3 linked regions of the Oryctolagus cuniculus genome follow. The main gene of each other region encodes a partner of the protein of the gene in region 3 in a complex. Links are inferred from orthologs where the notes say so. Each region holds a gene or a part of one and is shown on either strand. Other genes may lie near its edges.

The links. The genes of interacting proteins can lie anywhere in the genome.
Region 1: the proteins of VEGFC (region 3) and KDR are in contact, whole or in part, in a crystal structure (PDB 2X1W), measured with the Homo sapiens proteins. The link is inferred for Oryctolagus cuniculus from reciprocal best matches to the Homo sapiens genes VEGFC and KDR. Residues at the interface, in NP_005420.1 of Homo sapiens: Thr148, Asn149, Phe151, Lys153, Phe186, Ile188, Val190, Pro191, Leu192, Gln194, Pro196; in NP_002244.1 of Homo sapiens: Val135, Tyr137, Ile215, Val216, Val217, Val218, Asn253, Val254, Gly255, Ile256, Asp257, Phe258, Asn274, Arg275, Asp276, Phe288, Leu289, Ser310, Ser311, Gly312.
Region 2: the proteins of VEGFC (region 3) and FLT4 are in contact, whole or in part, in a crystal structure (PDB 4BSK), measured with the Homo sapiens proteins. The link is inferred for Oryctolagus cuniculus from reciprocal best matches to the Homo sapiens genes VEGFC and FLT4. Residues at the interface, in NP_005420.1 of Homo sapiens: Leu119, Asp123, Trp126, Gln130, Asn167, Arg210; in NP_891555.2 of Homo sapiens: Gln172, His199, Asp200, Ala201, Leu202, Tyr203.

The regions. Positions count from the first base shown.
Region 1 is NC_091439.1:109,288,916-109,292,739, reverse strand, and holds part of KDR (vascular endothelial growth factor receptor 2 precursor), read right to left. Parts: intron 3,508-3,824; coding exon 3,393-3,507; intron 3,296-3,392; coding exon 3,132-3,295; intron 1,691-3,131; coding exon 1,534-1,690; intron 559-1,533; coding exon 435-558; intron 1-434. UniProt on the Homo sapiens protein: Tyrosine-protein kinase that acts as a cell-surface receptor for VEGFA, VEGFC and VEGFD. Plays an essential role in the regulation of angiogenesis, vascular development, vascular permeability, and embryonic hematopoiesis.
Region 2 is NC_091437.1:66,958,208-66,962,031, forward strand, and holds part of FLT4 (vascular endothelial growth factor receptor 3), read left to right. Parts: intron 1-3,577; coding exon 3,578-3,779; 3' UTR 3,780-3,824. UniProt on the Homo sapiens protein: Tyrosine-protein kinase that acts as a cell-surface receptor for VEGFC and VEGFD, and plays an essential role in adult lymphangiogenesis and in the development of the vascular network and the cardiovascular system during embryonic development.
Region 3 is NC_091433.1:58,680,252-58,684,075, forward strand, and holds part of VEGFC (vascular endothelial growth factor C), read right to left. Parts: intron 1,568-3,824; coding exon 1,461-1,567; intron 1,159-1,460; coding exon 825-1,158; intron 1-824. UniProt on the Homo sapiens protein: Growth factor active in angiogenesis, and endothelial cell growth, stimulating their proliferation and migration and also has effects on the permeability of blood vessels.

The DNA.
Region 1 (3,824 bases), on a different chromosome or scaffold from region 3:
TTTAATACAACACCTTCCCCTTCTCGGGCTCGCAAAATCAGGATCACCTTCTAACAGACGGACGCATGAAATGGGGCGAGCGTTTCGCTTTTCTCCAACGAGCTATTCGGAAGTGAGAGGCTCTGCTAGAAGTCGGTGGTGTTTCCTAGCCTCCTTCATACACTAGCATACTAGCATCGTATCATACAGTCATGTTCCCAGTACGCCACCCGTACAAGGGGACTTCAAAAAGCTCACGGAAAATGGAATTAAAAGATCAATTTATTTTGGTGCACAAGTTTTTGAAATCCATGCATAGCGGTTTTTTTTTGTAATACTCATTTCCATGAACTTTTGGAAGACCCCTTCTATCACTGCACTATTCTCCCATGAGAGAGAGAGAGAGAGAGAGAGAGAGAGAGAGAGAGATTTGAATTAAAGGACTTCAAGCTTACTTTGTTTTTGCCTTCAATCAGGGCAAACTGATTTTTGCTGCCTTCAATTCTATTGCCTCCCTGGAAATCCTCCACGTTTCTCCATTCTTTGCAAGTGTATGGGTTTGTCATTAAGGCCGACTGGCTGTAAGAAAGAGCGAACAGATCACTTAGGATTTTGGCTTTCCCTTTTCATAGAAGTCTATTATTTTTTAGCTGTAATATTTAACAATGTTGTTAACGTTTCACCACACTCCCTTCCTGGGTAGACATTATATACTTACACCTATAGGCTACCTTTCTCTTGAAAACAGAGGAATTAATATTGTAAAGTGAGGGGCCGTAGGACTGATCGAAACGTAGAAAAAGAACGGTCCGTCGTCACGTATGTGGTAGGATTCGGTCCCCAGATCAATAGCAAGGAGAGGACTCCGACCCGGGGCCCTGTGTTCCTAGAAACAGCTGTCAGGGCAGCCACACTGCGAGATGTGGCGCCAATTAAAAATAGGCCTGGACAGAGGGGGGACGGTTCGAGGCGGACCCACTCAGGATACAGGAGGGAAGCAGCTATTTTGGGAACAGCCTCCATTCATAAACGTGACGACAGACATTCACGTTGGTTCAGTTCAAAGGAAGGCAGGGAAACTGCGAAGCCACTGGATTTGTGAAACTCATTCCCCGGCCAGCGGCTGTGGAAGAAGCTCCTCGTGGCCATGGCGAAAACAACAACAGGAAGTAGCCGCGAGGGGCTGATGGGCTGCTTGTTGTCCTGTCCTGTCCCCTGAGGATGTCCGCACTTGTGTGAGAACTTGATAAACCAGGCCCGAGGCTGCACCCACCGGAAGGCAACAGCGCACTGGCCCCCGATTGGGCGGAGAGAAAGCCAAGATGGAAAATCATCCAATTGAGCGAAGCACCTGCTATTGGAGAAGTGTGCCCCAGGCCGCCCCAAGAAGAGACAGCCAGCTTGTCCCAGAGTGGGACCCCCGAGCAAGCCAAGACAGCTCTGACACAAAACCCCAGGAAGCGGGAGGAGACCTCGCCCCCCTACACACACAGGGGTCGCTGTCTTGGTTTAGAAGGCGGTGACAAGGAGCTGCACGGCCCCAGGCCCACTCACCTGGCCTGCTCCGAGCACTCCTCCTCCAGCTGCCAATACCAGCGGATGTGGTGCGGGGGAGGCACGGCGTACACGGTGCAGGTCAGCGTCTGCGAGCTGCCATACTGGTAGGAGTCCACGGGCGAGATCAGAGACTTCTCCCCAATCTGCGGCGGCACTGGAGGCGGGACAGTGAATCCGTGAACTGTCAGTCAGCTCAGGGGGTCGCACAGGAGAGGCGTTCCCGACCAAAGGAGAGCTTTGCATTGTTTTGTTTTGTGTTTAACGTTTTTACGCTGCGATTAGCCTGCACTACAGGAACAGTGTGCTATGTAAGACGTGCCTACACTGCAAGCTGATCGCCTCCAGGCACTTGGCACTTCCGTTTCCTTTTCATTTCTCCCTGTGTGCAGCCTGCCCTCTTCCAGGGCTGCCGGCACTGCACACTGAGGTGCCGTGAGCTACAGTCACCCCTCCAGGCCTGGGGCGCTCTGCCGCTTAACGCCATCTATGCTTCTGGGCCCACTTTGGACTTCAAAGGACAGCTGGGACAGGACAGCTGAGGTCCCGTGATACCCATCCTAAGAAGCAGACAGGGGCCGGCGCTGTGGTGTAGCAGGTAAAGCCACCGCCTGCAGTGCCAGCATCGCACTATGTCCTTCTGGTCGACCAGAAGGCTCAGGTGGTACTTCCATTACCCCCCTTCTCCCATGCAGCAGGGCAAATGCTAAGTGAATCAGATGTGCGCTGACTTCATGAATGGATGAAATGGGGGCGATTCCCTGCCCGTGCCTCCGTCTTTATTTCTTGTATGCTGCCTCAGCTTTCCGGCCACTGCCTCTTCTCCAAGCCCCGCGCCCTCACTGCACACGAGCACCTGTTCAGAACACGCGATCTTTAAACCCATCCCTGCAAAAAGGAGGGACGCCACGCTCAGTGCCATGAGAACGGCACACACATGAGCATTTTGAAGACCCCAAGAAGTTCTGCAATTACAAAAAGTATTTCACACCATCAGGGCAGCTTCCCCACGAGTGTGACCATTGGACCCTTCCTTCCCCATCCCAAACATTTCGTTAGCCCTTTGAGTGTGGGACAACAAGTCGTCCTGAAATTAAAAACTTACTGTCGTCCCTCCAGCTCAGAGTCAGATGCTGTACTCCCGTCCAGAACAGTAAAAGTTCCAACCAAGCCAACGCCCTCTGAGCTGGGACCTGCCCATGCCCCCCCTGAAACGCCAAGTGCAGCCTTGAACTTCAAGAAGAGCCTCGGACATCTGTGCACCAGGCGCGCAGCTCCACGAGACGGGAGCGCGGGTCCCGCGGCCCAGGCTGACCACTGTCCCTGGGGGCGTTCTTGGCCACCGAGCCAACCATCTGCTTTAATCTTGCATTTGGCCACCAAACAGCTCACGGACAGGGCCTCTTGAGCCAAAACACGGCTGCAGGGTAGCACACAGTCCCACATCTCATTGCAAGTCTGCTGCCCCAGCCAGTTTTGTACACGAGCTCTGTCATGATATGGGTGACGGAGCAGGACACAAAGCCTTGGTGGCTTAGTGGCACAGGAAGACAAAACCACGCCCCTCAAGTCAGTCTGGGAGAACAGAGCAGACTCACCATTCACAACCAGAGACACCACGTGGCTCTGCTTCTCCCTGGTGATGGGGTTGGTGAGGATGACGGTGTAGTTTCCCGTGTCTTTCTCACTCGCCTCCGAGATGGTCAGTACGTGCCCCACTTTAATCGTGTGATTGGACTCCAGGAGTCTTCCATTTTTATACCTATGATTCCAAAAAAGCAAAAAAACCCGGGAATGAGTGTCATGGAAGCATCTGCCTTCTTGTGAAACAACACTCTTTATTTCATCCCAGTAGTTACCATTTGATTTCAGGCGGTGGGTAGCCCAGCCACCTCACGGGGACTCGGATGCGCGCTCCCACCGCGGCCTCCACCAAGGACTCCATGCCACTCCCAAAAGCAACAAAAGGCTTCTCTGGAAGAAAACAAAAGTCGTTATTCTCATAGGTGTCAACTTTCGGAGAGTGGCTGTTGGGCTTGGTTATCGTTGTTATTGTTATTCTTTCTTATTTCATGGGAAAAGCCAGAGGCCCTGTGAGTGAGCAGGTGTGGCTCTGGGATTCCCCACCCTGTCCCTGCGCAGGTCACACGCCAGCGTCCCCAGGGCCGGCCTCAGCATCTGCTTTTCTGCTGCCTACTGCACTCGCCAGCCTCCTGGCTCCTCGGGTCTCAGTTCCAGCCTTTGCCCCTCTCCGCAGTTTTCTCTGAGTCTCCCAGGATGCCTCCTACCCC
Region 2 (3,824 bases), on a different chromosome or scaffold from region 3:
GGGGCAGGAGAGGAACGTGGCAAAGCCCTGGGGACAGGGGCCGCACTGACCGGGGACACAGCGGAAGAGACTGAGGCCCAACAGAGGAGGAGCAGAGCTGTGTTTGTGAACATTTGAGGCACGAGGAGTGGCTGGCTGGGGAGGGCTCTGCTTCCAGAAGAGCGATGAGCAGGCAGGGAGTGCTGCTGGGTGGTCAAAGAAGAAAGTACCAGAAGATTCTGTGGAAGGATGATAGTGTCCAGAATTCAGAAAACAGCATTCTCGCTCTCTCTCTCGCTCTCTCTCTCTCTCTCTCACACACACACACACAGTGCCTGGTTCTCTACCAAAAATGCTCCTCACGACAATGGCAACAGAGGGCACTGTTCTTCCCACAGGTTCCCTTGGGACACAGGTGCAGCAGCTCACTGGGCAGATACATGCCCCTGGAGAGGTCTGTGTGGGAAGAAGGGAGGAGTTTATCTGCCCGGTCCTTTCCTGCTAACCCTTGGTCAGATTCACCCCGTAGGGAGTTAATCTCTCCTCATTTCCAGGTTGCCTCATCTGGCCCTTTCAGCAACCAGGATGCCAGATCCCACTCCCTTCCCTATGGCCTTTTATCTGAATCTACAGGTGGCTGATGGGAGAGCCAGGGAGAGAGCCCTGCGTTCCCTCAGGCACTGGATGACCCTGGCAGCAGTGTGATGCAGGACTTGAAAGGAGCCTTTGAAAGAAGGATGCAGTCAAAGGGATTTGAGTGTCACCAAAGAGGCAGGGTGCTATGTCATTTTTCAGTGGAGGAAAAGCCACCTATCTTCATTCATTTTCTGCTGCTGTAACAAAATACCTGGGCCTTGTGGGGAGCAACTCGGACTAGACTAAGTTACTGGAATTAAGACTTATTCTATGCATCTGCTCTCCCACAATATGGCGCTGGGAGAGGAGGAAACAGCTTCTACACAGCTGCCTCCAGTTCGACCAATAACCTGCAAGAGCTGATCCTGCTCCTGATTGGAGGAGAGCAGCGTACTCGGTGTGTGGGTAGCAGAGTTGGGATTGGTAGAAGAGGACTATAAAGGAGGAGAGAGACAACATGCACAAGGAACATCTAAAGGGAACACCTGAGCAGCCCCCGAGAGAGCCGGCCGGCGGTGTGCCGCTCCCCCGCTGAAGTGGGGAAAGTGGCAGGGGGAGCCGCCCTTCCACGGAGGTGGAAGGATCGGCAGCCAACCCAGGAAGGACCAGCAGCAAACCCGGGAAGGGCCGAGCAGACAAAAGAACAGCGCAGGGTCCTGTGTTGTTCCTCCATGAAGAGGGAGAGCGACAGGCCTGGATAATTTAGAATGAGTAGGAATTTCTTTGACTCACGGTGCTGGAGACTGGGAAGTCCACTTTTCTAACCCACACACTCCCGGGATGACAATGTGAATCTGCTCATGAGAGCACTCGGGATCTAATTACTTCTTCAAGGTCCCAGCTGTCCACACTGTCTGCCCTGGGCACTGGGTTTCCAAACCATGAACTTAGAAGGATGCATTCAAACCACAACACCACCGTGGCTCCTCACGCCTTGCATGGGAGAACCTACCATTTCCGATGTAGGAAATTCCAAAGTGAATAATCATGAATGGAAAAAATAAGCAGTATCCATACAAAGTTCTTGTAAGAATAAAACAGGATATTAGAATCTGAATGTCGCAGTAGCAACTTGCTGAGCAGAGACACTGTAAGGCTACACTACAGGAACTAAATGTGGAATGAAGCAGGAGCTACACACATGCAAACATACAGACAAGATAAAGACATAAAATGACAGCCGACAAAATTCAGGAAAGAAACTGAAGCAAAAGACAAATCCACTCGAAACAAAGAGTAGAGTATGCCAGGGACAGTGCAGCCATCCCCTGCCCTGCAGGGTCCCCTTCCATGCATCTGAAAGTGCAAACATTTGCTGTCACTTTCCAGAGAGAATGCATGCATGGAAACCTTTATTCCAGTCTATCATTATAATAATTTATTATTCGCTGTTCATCTCTTGCCTATGAAAATTAAACTAGAGAATAAAAGTTTACCATAGGCATGTACACATAGGACAAAACCTAGCATATATAGGGTTCAGTACTGTCCGAGGTCTCAGGCAGCTACTGGGGTGATGGATGCATCCCCCTAGAGAAGGGGGATGCTGTATACATGACCAGACTTGCACAGCGGGATGGATGCCAAAGGAGTCAAGACAATGAACCTGAATGAGGTTAAAAAGGGTTAGAGAGAAAGTGGCAGGTTATAGAAGGCATGGAGAGATCCAGTAAAAGTGAAATTGCAGTCCCTGGGGAAGAATATGCAAACAGTGGGATAGACCTAATATTTGAAACCTACAACTCAATTTATTTATTAAATAAATAAATGAAGACCTGACTCTACATGTCGGCAAGAATATCTGGAGAAACTGGCACAGGATGGAAAATTGTGAGAGATATCAGAGCTATTCAACTTTAAAGGTGGACACTTTGGGGCATGTGTTTGGCTTTGCAGCTTAGATTCCAGCTAAGATGATCCATGATCCACATTAGAGTTCCTGGGTTCGATTCCTGGCTCCTACTTTTGACCCCTGGAAGGCAGCACATGGTAGCTCAAGCAGTTGGGTCCCTGCCAAGCACACGGGAGACCTGGATGGAGTTCCCAGCTCCTAGCTTTGGCTGCTGCAGGAATTTGGGGATGGAACCAGTGGATAGGAATGCCTCTCTCTCTCTCTCTCTCTCTCTCTTTCACAGCATACACACAGATATCCATGTGCATGCTGCTTCTTGCTTCTTGAATGAATAAATATAAAAAGAAATGCACTCTGGAAATTCAGACAAAAAGAACAAATCCCAAAGAAAAGAGTCAGGTTGGCCACAGACTTTATCTCAACAGCTCCATGCAAAACAAAGCAATAATTAAACCAATTCTTTCAAAAATCAAAGAAAACGAGAGCCAAGGCTGGAGCTCAGCAGGGCAGAGAGGTGGGTGGCACTGGAACCGGCAGGACCCTGCAGGCCCCAGGGGAGAAGCTCGGGTTTTCTTCCCAGAGCTACAGGAAGCCATTAGAAAGTGTGGCAGGAGACCCTGATGTCACATCTAACCTAAGGAGTCTGGCTGCAGGGGTGAAGACCTGGCAGAGCCTACAGAGACAGCAGCCTGCTCTGCAGTAGGGGCACCAGTAGACAGCTGAGCACAGTGCATTCTGGGTGTACAGTAGACAGGACTTCTGGATGGACTGGGTATGAAGCGGGAGGGAAAGGAAGGACACAGGAATTTTAGGCAGGTGCTTGGCTTGAGTGGCCAACTGAACACTGATGCCATTTACTAAGATGGGCCCGAGAGGTCAAAGGGTTTGTTTGGGGGATGAAGGCAGAGCTTCTCCATGGCTCCTTGTCCAGGCCTGGGACAAATCTGACCGGTGTGGTGTCTGTTTCAGTCAAGGCTGGGCTGTGTGGTTCCCAGAGCCCCTGAGCACACTTCTTGCTCCAGTTGTATCATGATCCTGATCCATCCCCAACCCCGGGTCCAGTTCCCTCTCCTCTTGTCCCGCTAACGCTGCCTTCCTTTGTCTTGACAGCTGTAAAGGACCTGGTCAGGCTGTGGATGTGACCAGGGGGCACCCTGGCCCCCATGGGCGGCGGCGGCGGCCTGACCGGGGAGCGCAAGGAGGCCAGGTGTTTTACAACAGCGAGTATGGAGAGCTGTCACGGCCACGCGACGACAGTGACAGCTCCCCAGGGTCTGCCAGCCCACCCTTCTTCACAGACAGCAGCTACTAAGGCAGCAGCAGGCAAGACCCTCTGCCCTCCTGAGCCTGGGCCCTG
Region 3 (3,824 bases):
AACTTTGAACAGGACCAAGAGCTTGGTTGCCAAAGTACACTCAGCATCACAGATGCCAACAAACCAGAAGAAATCAGAAACATTTAGAAACTGATAGATAGAAGAAAACAGAGACGAAGATGCATAAGTTAGGGAAGCAAATAGAAGAAATGTGGGAGAAAATACCAACAGCACAGATCTGCCTTAAACAGATCACCTTATTCTTTGAGGTTAAAGAATTTCTCAGACTAACACAGAACGTTCTTGAGTCCACTAATCTTACTTTTTTTTCTTGATGAAGAAGAGAATAAAACCAAGGTTTACGAAGTAAGTTTTCAGTAACTTTTAACAACATATTAACTGGGCTCTCCAATTCCATTACTTAGTATACATATTTCTAGATATAATTCTACAGTAAGTGGTAGTATTCTTTTTTGAGTTTTTGCATAAAAATCACCTGTACTTAGAATAGTTTTCCTAAATTCCATGTGAAGGTGTAATGGTTTTTGTTGGGTGTGAATGTGAGTGCTTGCAAGTATTTTGTAAATTTTTTACAAGATTTCTGAGTCTTATTGATCATCAGTTCCTTAGCCTCTGGGTCAAGGATGTAGACTTTACTCTGAATTTGGACCTGATTTTGGTCTCCAAGGCAGCTTGTCTCACTTTTTTGGGAGCAAAGTATCTCATGCAAGTTTAGCATTGGTTAATGAAAATGCTAGAATTTGTCTTCCAGAACTTATTAGCTACATTCTGATAAATGCTAGTTTTGGTTAAGAAACCTGCTTTTACTTGAGAACATTTTATTTCCAGTATGAGACCTTACACTATTTCTAAAGAACTCTTACCTGCATGTTTGATGTTGGAATTTCTTTCCTTTTAGAAAGCATTTTTGTGGATTTTCTGTACATTCACAGGCACATTTTCCAGGATTGAGGGGTTGGTTTCTTGGACAGGTTCTTTTACATACACACTGGCATGTGTTTTCATCAAATTCTCTGTTGGCCCCACATGAGCTGGGGAAAAGTTTGTTTTTACAGACACACTGGCATGAGTTTCTGTCGAGTTCTTTGTGGGGTCCACAGCTGGAAGGCCGAAGGCCCCCTTTGCAGACACACTGACAAGTCTCTTCATCCAGCTCCTTGTTGGGTCCACAGATGTTGTGAAATCCATCTGCAGAGTCTAGACAAACACAGAACATCCTGACTATACCTTAGTTGGTTCTGGTATGGGTTAATTAAAAGCATTTTAAAAATCTTCCTTTTTATGTTTTTCATTAAGTGGTTATGTACAAACATGGGTATGTTCCTTTACAAAAAAGTTCAAAACAATACCAAGATGAATAAAAAAAATGCTCCATTTTGTAGTCACTTATTTCAAAGAATGATGATCTGAATATTGCACATGTGGTTTTAATATTAAATTATGTGTTAATCAAAATATAGACTCTTGGCCTTTAGTTTTTGAAATATTATTCCGCTTACCATCTCCAGCATTTGAAGAAAAAATGAAGTCTTGCTGAGCCAGGCATCTGCAGATGTGATTATTCCACATGTAATTTGGGGGGCAAGTCTTGTTTGTTGCATCACACCTTTGGAAGAAACAGACAGGTTTAAGGAATGGTATAACTAGTACCTGGACGCGATCACTGGCTTTCCTCTCATGTTTTATATCAGTACGTGCCTCTAAAAAGCTTTGAAAGATATAAACATATATAAAATGATATGTGAAGTAGCCTCTCAAACTACTACCACCCACACTTGCATTCGAATTCTAATTTCAGTGGAGACCACTGTTAGTGGTATAGTCTTAAGATGCCAGTCTTTCCTCCTTTAATCAAATATATTAATTTTTATAATCACATCGTATTTTATTTTGTAAAAAAGATGCAATAAAGCCTTTTTATTACTCAAAATTCCTTTTTTCCACTAAACAATATATTATGAGAAAATGTATATATAATTTCATAAAGTTTTGCTACTTTTTAGTGTCTGCATAATACTCCATAAAAGCAAGGACTATTTGCATTTTATTAATACATTATAGTATCTATTTAAGTGATTCCAGTTTTTGGCTTCTTCAAACAATGATTTGTGATTATTTTAAAACTTGCTGTATATGAGTGAAATGGCCATCTTTTGATTTGAGTATTGTTAATAGCTCTGGCCTATATTCCTGTTGAACTAGTGTCTTTATTTTACTTGTTAAACTCTTTATTTAGAAGAGCATTAAGCCTTTGACCATAATGTAAATAAAAATATGGTATCTCAAAAATTGAGAACAAGAAAAAGAAAGAAAGAAAGGGGGAGGGGGGAGGAAGGAAGGAAGGAGAGATATGAAGAGAGAGAAGAATGGATGTGTTCTTATATTCCTGGAATTGTACATATGAAAAACAGATATTGATCTTAAAAAACTTGAGCTCTCTGCCAAAAATAGATAAAAGAAACATCTATACAAGAGGGTGCATCAAAAGGTTTGTGGAAAATATAATTTTAAAAAGTTTACTTTGATGCACCAATTTTTGAAACTCATGTATTTTTTCACAATTACACATCTTCTGTGAACTTCTGACTGCTAATATACATACCCTTGTTATTTTGTTATGAAATATAGCTCTCCACAGTTGTAAAGCCCCATTACTGAAGATTTCCATTCTGTGCTCCATCGAAAAGTCACTACTAAGCATGTTTTTGTTACATTGTTCTGGCTTTCCCTCTCTTCCCTCTTACCGCTCTTCCTTCTTTGTCATCCTCCTTCCACCTCCCTTTCTTCCTTATTTATTTTATTAGAAATTATGAACATATGTGTCTGGACTTGAGTCAAGTGTTCTAAATAGTGCTTGGATGCTTCGCTATCCCACTTTTGGCTCATTGGGACACCTGTGTGTTTGTGCCTGTAATGATATCAGCCCTTTATTTGACAGATCCTCTGCTGTCCAGGATGCACAGATATCATAAAATCATCTTGCTCATTTTTCTCTTCCACAACTGGAGCCAGTATTTCTCCAAGGAGCCCTAGTTCTTTTAGTTGGAAACTGACATTTAGAGGCTACTATTTGAGATAAGATGTGTTCAGTGCCATACAACTACATTTCTAGATCTCATAGGGTAGATCTAGAAAATGTAGAATGTTTCCCAAGTTAATGTTTACACCCCCCAAAAAGATTATATTTTTAATTATCAAATTACACAGTGTGTCTAAACCTATCACTATTTCATTTTTTGATTGATGTTGGTGGTACACATCAAGTGGAAACATTTATTTGTATCTTTCACCCTGGTACAATATCATAAACCACATTACAGGTGGCAAAGTATTCTTATATTTCAAATTGGTGGAATATAAGAATAGTGTGTAGAAATCTGAAGAAGTGCTCTGAATGGTTCAGATAGTCCTAAAGAAATCTTCACTGGGTTATACTCAGTGTGATAGTATACCTTTCATTGAAAATAGCCTGACATCTCTTAACGCTATATGAAAAGAATTTCTGAATAGAAGAAAAAGCAAATCTTAATTTTCAACTCTATTTTCTGTCAGCTTGAAAACCACCTATGAGGATTTATCAATGCTTTCCTGCTTAGCAGTCTCTACAGCAGCTCCAAGATGCAGGTTATCTCTATCACTTATTTTCAGCATGACAGTTTGGCTAAAATCACCCCCTAATTCTTCACACCATCACCTTCTGCAAGCAGTCGATGACTGCTGACTCTTATCACCTCATCTTTCTGTGACCTTCTTCAAGGGTCATGTCTCCTTCAGCTTGATGAAGAACATTCTATTACAAGTGATTTCTTGAATTAATTTTAATTTGCAAATAACTTTCTGATCATTGTGTGTTATTTGTTATA